Pelodiscus sinensis: one gene and its partner. The protein of the gene in region 2 purifies or fractionates together with the protein of the main gene of each other region. This does not show direct contact. Links are inferred from orthologs where the notes say so. Each region holds a gene or a part of one and is shown on either strand. Other genes may lie near its edges.

Region 1 (3,745 bases), on a different chromosome or scaffold from region 2:
ATTAGTCGATATGGGGGGCGCTCACTACCCCCCGCTGCAGCTCTGCAGTTTTAATGTAATAGGAGCTGGGCATGCAGCAGTCCAGCTCCTACTACATTTAAACTGCAGAGCCACAGTGGAGCGAGCTCCTGGGAGCAGTGAGCGCCAGGACTAAACAGTCCCAGTTCGCACCAGCCCCAGAAGCTAACCCCACTGCGGCTCTGCCTTTTAGATGTAGTAAGAGCTGCCGGGAAGTCCCCGCTCATGGCGAGTCCCGTGCCTTGCCTCTCCCTTTTACATATAGTAAGAGCCCACAGCGCCTCTGTGTCCCCTGCCCCCAGCACCACAAAAACAGTGCGGGGGAGGTGAGGGGGAGAGAGAACTGGATTTTGAGCTGGCTCCGCCGGCACCAGCTCCTGTGTCACCCCCCCCCCCCCGTCCTTGCTGTCTCTGATAAAGTGGCAGCAAGGGGGGGGAAACATGAGTAGTCGACTCCTAGGCTTATTAAGTAGTCAACTATTTGACTACTCTTTCATATCCCTAGCATGAACTACAAGAAGTTAATATACATATCATCACCTTCACAACAAACATGCACATAAACATTTGTAAATAGTTTTTCATATTTAACAAAAACTGTCTCTTTCATAAAATCCTACACGCTGCTCAGAACTTATTTTTTGGGGTGGGGGGCACTTAGTCCTTGAAAACAGCTACATCTTCCTAGGCCACCAAACCAATACCAAATCACCTTTAAACTACATTATGTAGTTTAAGACTGAGTAGTTTTTCCTGGTATGTGGTTCTATGGAATACTGCCTAATACTGTGGAGCATCAGTGTGTAATATCCAAATCTAAAGCTATTTGGAAAGTTGAATGTCTGTTGGAAAGCAACACTGCATTTTGGCCTGAGAGCAGCCGTGATAAAAAACATGCAACACAAATGAGTTTTACAACCGAATTATTTGTTCTAGCAACCAATGTCTACATTTGTTTCTTAATCCCTTCCACAGTTGATAACTGTGATGCTATGTTCTATCTTACCAACCTGTGGCAGCATTATCGCACTAAACTCTCATTGAGTTACTAATATTCTGTCAAAAAGATAATTAAGAAAGTTGTTCATATAAAAGTTTCCAATACCAAGTTTACTTGTGCCAAGACTCCAAGGACTTCCTGATCAGTTACCACGTGACAACAACTGATAAAAGAATTCTAACTTCTGAAGTAAACCAGTTCTGGACTAATAATTACACACTTTCCATCTAACTCAAATAATATAGTAGAATATATCAGGTGGTGACATTCAAGTGCTTTCAGTTTCTACCTTAAATAAGCCTATATATTAACGTTTCTGAAAATGTGGTTAGACATAAGCTAAACTGAATGACTAACGAAAAAGCTTAATTATGCTTGAACTTGATTTTCTTATGCTTCAATCTTACCCTAGAAAATAGTCACTTACTTCATTAAGACATCAGACAGGAATTCCTTTAACTTACAAATCACAGGCTGTAAATAACCAAGGCTAGCTCCCCCAACACTAACATGATATCAACAACAAAAATTTCCCATATGCCAGATCTTTCTCCTCCCTTTTAATTTTCTTACCCCACTGCCTGCTTCCTTGAATGCTCTCCCTTTTGGCTTAGCCTGGACAAGAATCTTCTTCCTCATTTTTCATTACTGCTTGCACTTTCCCACTGACAACATCCCCTTTTCAGCAACAGAGGCACCTTTTATTTTGATGTGGGGTCGAGATGAGAAAAAGCCTCAGGCTTATACACAGCCCACAGAGGGGCAGAAGACCCGAATCACCCCCACCACAAGAGACAAAACAAGATAGTTTCTCCACTAGATTCTTGTTCCCTTGTGGGCAGCCCTGGTCTCAAGTGGAGATAGACATCATACTCCCCCCAAAGCCTACAGGGGGACGCAGCCCCCACAAAGAGATAGGAGAAGGGAGCTGCCACCCACCCCCAAAATCCTATGGGGGTCCCACAGTGAAAGGAGAGGAGCGGCCACCTACCCCGCAGAACCTAGAAGGCAAAGGTCTGGGGTTAGATCTAAGGAAGCCCTTGGCTCTCTATGGGGCAGGGCACTGTACTTCAGACTGCTCCCAAGGTACCTCCCTCCCCCGCAGCTCCTATTGTGAGAATTTTGCCCCCTACCCACTCCCCTTCTCGCAACTCCCACCTGGTCCTACATTGCCCTCCTCAGCCCCCCTCCCCCATCAACCCCCAAGTCCCCCACCAACCCACCTCTCCTATCAGCCCCCCCATTAATCCCCAGAACCTCCCCCCTCAGACCCTCTTCTCCCATCAACCCCCAGACCGCCCCCCCATCAGGCCCCCAGGCTCCTTCCCCCATCAGGCCCCTTCTCCCATCAATCCCCCACCCCCCTCAGCCCCTCTTCTTCCATCAACCCCCAGCCCCCTCCATTAGGCCCCCAGGACCCTTCCCCCATCCATTCCCCTCCCCCCTCAGCCCCTCTTCTCCCACCAACCCCCAGCCCCCTCATCAGGCCCCCAGGCTCCTTCCCCCCCCAGCCCCCCGGCCCGGCGCCCCGGCCCACCTCGTCCTCCTTGTGGTTGCGGATGCCGCGCACCAGGTCCTGCAGGTTCTTGTCGAACATGCGGTCGATGCTGCCCTTCACCATCTTCAGCGCCATCGCGGCGGGGCCGGCGGGGCCTGCGCTGGGCGGCGGGGCCGGGGGGGGGGGCGGGCGGCGGGGCCGCTGCCGAGCGTGTCCGGGCGGGGCGGGGCCGGGCCGCTCACATCCCGCGCGGGGCCAGGCGGCGCGCGCCCCGGGGGCTCAGGCGGCGGCGGCGGCGGGAATCTCCGGTCTCCGCTCAGCCCAGCGCCTGACAAAATGGCGGCCGGTCAGCTGAGGGCTCGGCCCCTCCCCCTCCCGGCCGCCGCACGCCGGGCCACGCCCCCGCCCGGCGCCAGCCCCGCCCGTGTCTCCGCCCACCTCGCCCCTGGCCCCGCCCACTCCCGCCGAGGCCGCGTCACCGCTCCCTCTGGCTCCGCCCCTGTGGCCCAGAGCCCCGCCCATTTCTCCTCCTCTGAGCCCGCCCCTCCCGCCCCCGGCCGTGATTCCCGGCGGCGCCTTCCACGTCACCCGCCCGGGGCTGCCAGCAGCCTGTGGGGGAGGGGTTGGGGAGTGGCTCTCCCCTCCCCCTGCACCCCGCAAGGGCCCCACCCCCAACAAGCTGAGCGGCCCCGCTATGCGCTCGACAGGGCCGGCCTCGAGCACGTGCTCTGCTGACTCGGGGCCCTTAATGCCCAGTGAGGCGGGGATGCTGCAGCCCCCACCCCCCCTCCCCCGCACTGCTGCAGGGAAACTGAGCCCGTGGACGCTTTGCTGTGACTGCCCGGTACCACCCTACGCTCAGCACGGGGCGGCCCGCCGGGAGAGAGTCACACGCCTCCGGCAGCCCCTGTTTCTACTGATGGTGCACATCCACACAGGTCCCAGTGCAGAGAACAAAATTTATTCCATGCATGGGTGGAAAAAATGAGAGGGAACATTGCCACTGTTCATCTGGCAAAACGCTCTTCTGTAAAACGCTTCTTATGCAGAAACCCTGCGTGTAGACAAAGCCCAAGCGTGTAAAAGACACAGATGTACACAACTCTAGCGGGCGCGGAAGTAGCAGCAGCTTTGCTGAGCAGCTTGGATGCCACAGTAGAACAACGTTTGTAGTGGAGCGGTTCTTTTATTATTATTTTGTTCTTATCCCGCCAGAGATCGGGGCCTCA
Region 2 (3,745 bases):
AGGGCCCCCAAAGGCCAGGGGCCAGGAGCACAGTTCCACAGGAGTGCACTAAGCCTTGTAGCCACGGGGCTGCGTTCCTCATTTATTCCAGCTTTCTAGCTGTAGAACTGCACAAATGTATGTTTTTACATTACAGAACCTGCAGTCCTGCATCCCAAATCACTGGGAGATTTGCCTGCAGAAGCTTCAAAAGATGCTATTCACACAGCTGGAGTTGCATACCTTAGTTCAACTTTCTGCGGTAGTATAGACGTAGCCTCAAGCAAACAGTTTATCCTTATCGTGAATGGAACCTCTGCATAATCTCCCTTTACCAAACATAGAATACTGCAGCATTTACAGAAGGCATAATTGTAGATGAGCTGTTCTCTATTAGGGAATGAGTCTGTCTGTGAATCTGTTTGTTCAAGAACTCCTCCTAAACAATAAGAGGTAGGGCCACCAAATTCGGTATTCAGCTTCCTCTTACCCTAACTTAAAGCAAGACAGCACTTGTGTCAGGAAAACAGGAAGGGCCAGGAATGGGACTATTTTCCAGAACACGGAAAGGGAAGGCACTGCTGTTCAAGGAGTAAATAGCACCCCTGCCTCAAACCCCTCTTCCCTGGCCCTTGGTTGCTGTACTGAGGGGAAGGAAGACAGTCCCCCAAATGGAACCCCCTCCCACCCTGAGCCCCTTCTCTTCCCCAAACCCTCACTCTTGCACACCCCCCAGCCTCCTGCCCTGCCCTCCACATCCCCCACACCGCCAATCCCCTACTCTGAAGGGCCCAGGCAATGCCAAGTAAGTCTTCTAATATTCATATAAATCAGCATTCAGAAGCCACTGGTGCTCCCCATGGTGCGTACTGTGGGTGGCAAAGAACTATCTGCTTTTCTTATTCAAACCTACTAGGTTACGTTACGGATAATTATGAAACAAATATCTTCCTAATATTAATTTTCATGTAAGCAATTGCTGTAGTTGCAACAGGGAAGCTATAAACAGGAAGGGAACTCTGTAAATTTTAAATAAATAAATGGAGATTGCCTATCTCCTAGAACTGGAAGGGACCTTGAAAGGTCATTGAGTCCAGTCCCCTACCTTCACAGCAGGACCAAGTACCATCCCTGACAAATTTTTGCCCAAAATCACCTCCGCAAAGATTAAACTCACAACCTTGGGTTTAGCAGGCCAATGCTCAAACCACTAAGCTATCCCTCCCCCCTTAAATGTGCTAATGGGAGTGGAGAAGGTCTGTAAAGAGGAGCGGTTGGTCCAAGGGACTAGCTATTAAAAGCATGGGCCACAGACTAAGACCTCCCCGTTAAAATAAGTCCTTCTCCTATTACCTCAGTTTACCACAGAGGGAAGGATAAAAATACTTACATGTACACACATCATGAAAAATCATTAAGTGAACTGGCTAATATTTGAACAAATTCATCACTGACATAATTCAACTTAAGCAACCTTACACCAGGCATTTGTCCCATTGTCTATAGCTTTGTAATTCAGTGTGCATTTTGGTAAATTCTGCTGCTATTCATGGTTAGTAAAGAAAATATTTAGAAACAGTAAGTATCTAGAACACTTATTTCATTTATATTCTAATTGCTCTTAAAAAGCTCCCGGTGGCTTCTTGGTTTTACAATTTCATGAGTAGAGGACAACTGATCTTAGCTACTTAATGTTAATAATATTCTTAGAGTCTCCCTCCAGCATTTCAGTGCATCGATTTTTATCACACTGCATCAGATCTGAATCTGCATTATAGCCAGATCAGCCCCAGAATGAAGCCTGACTCCCCACTTTGTAGGGTGTGAAAACTTAAAAAAGCACCAGGGGCCTAACAAGGGAATAGCTGTGAAGAATGGTAAACACTCAGTTCTCACTGTCAGAATTTTGTTGACCAAAGCATGGATTGGGCTAGACAGAAAAGAGTCTGTACATCCCAACCAGTTTGTCTGGATCGCTTTATTAATAGTTTTGGTGGCACTAAGTGAGACTATACAGCCAGGACCTGCTTCCCCTTTCACAGCTGAGAAATGCCCTCAGGAAGAGCACAGATGATCACTACATCATAAGTAGGGGCGGCATCCCGAGCCAGGCAGCTCTGAAGAAAACCACACGCAAGACCCACAGACGCGGACCCCCACCCGGGCTGTAGGTGTAATCAGGGGCGCTTTGGCATCATTTGATTCTTCTCGCTCGTTCTTCTCTTCTGCTTCCCCTGCGCTCGCTCCAGGCTGGGGGAGGGAAGGGAAGCTGAAGTAAAAGTGAGCAACCGCTCCAGCGGGTGGGCTGCCAGCATCCCTGCCTGGGGGGGAGACCGCTCGGAGCTCGGCTTCGATGCGCAACACCAGCTCGCAGCCCCGGACCCGCAACGGGTCCATCAGCGCCCACAAGCCCAGGCAGGGGCCAGCGAGGCGGCTGCGCAGGCCGGGAGGCCCAAGCGCCGCCCGCCCCTTTCCCCACATCACCGACCGCGGCAAAGGCAGCTCTTACCTGCGGGCCGAGCGCAGAGACCAATCTACAGCGACTCCATGACAAATGGGTTTGTCCCGTCAGCCGACAGACGCGCAGCCGGAGCGCGGCAGAAGTCCCGCCCCGGGCCCCGTCATAGGCTGAGGCGGCCGGCGCGGGCGCAGCGATTTGCTCGTTTGACGTCACTCACCGGCGGATCCCCAGTAGGGCCGCACGTAGGCCAACGACACGTGATGCTGGCTGGGGCGGAACTGGTGGGCGCGGAGCTGGGGGCGGAGACGAGAGGCGCCGAGCGGGTTCTGGGACTCGGAGCAGTCGCTGGCGGAGGAGGCTGAGGATTGCTGCCGGCCAGGTGCTGCGCAGGGAGTCCCGGCTGCGGGGAGGCGGAGGGAGATGTCTGGCGGGATGAGTTGAGAGGCTCAACAGCTCCCCCCTCCCCCCCCAGCAGGGATGTGGGGCGGCCGTTGTTCCCGTGTCCTGACAGCAGTGGCTGCCTGGGCTGTTCCCTGTCGGCCTTGGCCAGCCTGGTGTGTGGGCGGCCCGTGGCAATGCCTGGAACGCGAGGCGCACAGCTCGGGCTGTCTCCACGCTGGGAAGGTTTGTCAAGAGACGTGTGGCCGTGCAAAAATCGCCGAAAGTGAAAACCAGGCCTTCAACCCAGGTTTTCTGCTTCCTGTTGTGGGCAGTCCAGGGCCACATTACTAGCAGCCTGTTGACATAAGCATCCCACAGTGCAGTGTTGTGGGAAGCCAGAGCTGCTTTGTGTGTGTGTGAGGCATGTCAAAGCAGCACAGTGGTTTCACCTGCCCTCCTCCTCCAGCAGCAGGTAGAACAGAAGCATTCCAAGGATTGGTTCTTTGGTCCCCAAATGGAGCAACTCACTCAGCTGTCAGATACTTCCTGAAATTTTGAAAAGGGCATGCTTGCCAGGCAGCAGAGATTAGGGATGTTAAATTTAGATTAATTAACTAATTGAATAGTTGATAGGCTTTTTATCAACCATTTGATTAGTCTATAAGGGTATCTGGCCTTTGAACTGTAGCAAGAGCCCTGCAGGGTGGTGGGGCTAACAGGGATTCCTCTGCTGGCCTTGTACTCCCTGCATGCAAGCATCTGTACATTCCAAAAGCAAAATTGCAGCAGAAGCAGAACAAACAGACTACTTCAGTTCCCGCATACGCTGTTTCCCACTGTGCCTCGACCTCTCCTGCCCTCCTCAGAGATGGTACTGGGATAGTCAACTAGTCTCTTACATCCTTAGAAGAGATCACAAAACAC

Evidence for each region.
Region 1: the proteins of RNF13 (region 2) and AP3D1 purify together in Homo sapiens (affinity purification with mass spectrometry; 3 studies listed by BioGRID and IntAct, counting the BioPlex papers as one, with this or other methods). This does not show direct contact. The link is inferred for Pelodiscus sinensis from reciprocal best matches to the Homo sapiens genes RNF13 and AP3D1.

Annotation. Positions count from the first base shown.
Region 1 is NC_134729.1:27,439,718-27,443,462, reverse strand, and holds the start of AP3D1 (AP-3 complex subunit delta-1), read right to left. Parts: upstream 2,871-3,745; 5' UTR 2,652-2,870; coding exon 2,556-2,651; intron 1-2,555. UniProt on the Homo sapiens protein: Part of the AP-3 complex, an adaptor-related complex which is not clathrin-associated. The complex is associated with the Golgi region as well as more peripheral structures.
Region 2 is NC_134720.1:26,050,338-26,054,082, reverse strand, and holds the start of RNF13 (E3 ubiquitin-protein ligase RNF13), read right to left. Parts: upstream 2,649-3,745; 5' UTR 2,489-2,648; intron 1-2,488. Other genes in the region: protein ANKUB1, read left to right, coding at 2,918-3,064. UniProt on the Homo sapiens protein: E3 ubiquitin-protein ligase that regulates cell proliferation. Involved in apoptosis regulation. Mediates ER stress-induced activation of JNK signaling pathway and apoptosis by promoting ERN1 activation and splicing of XBP1 mRNA.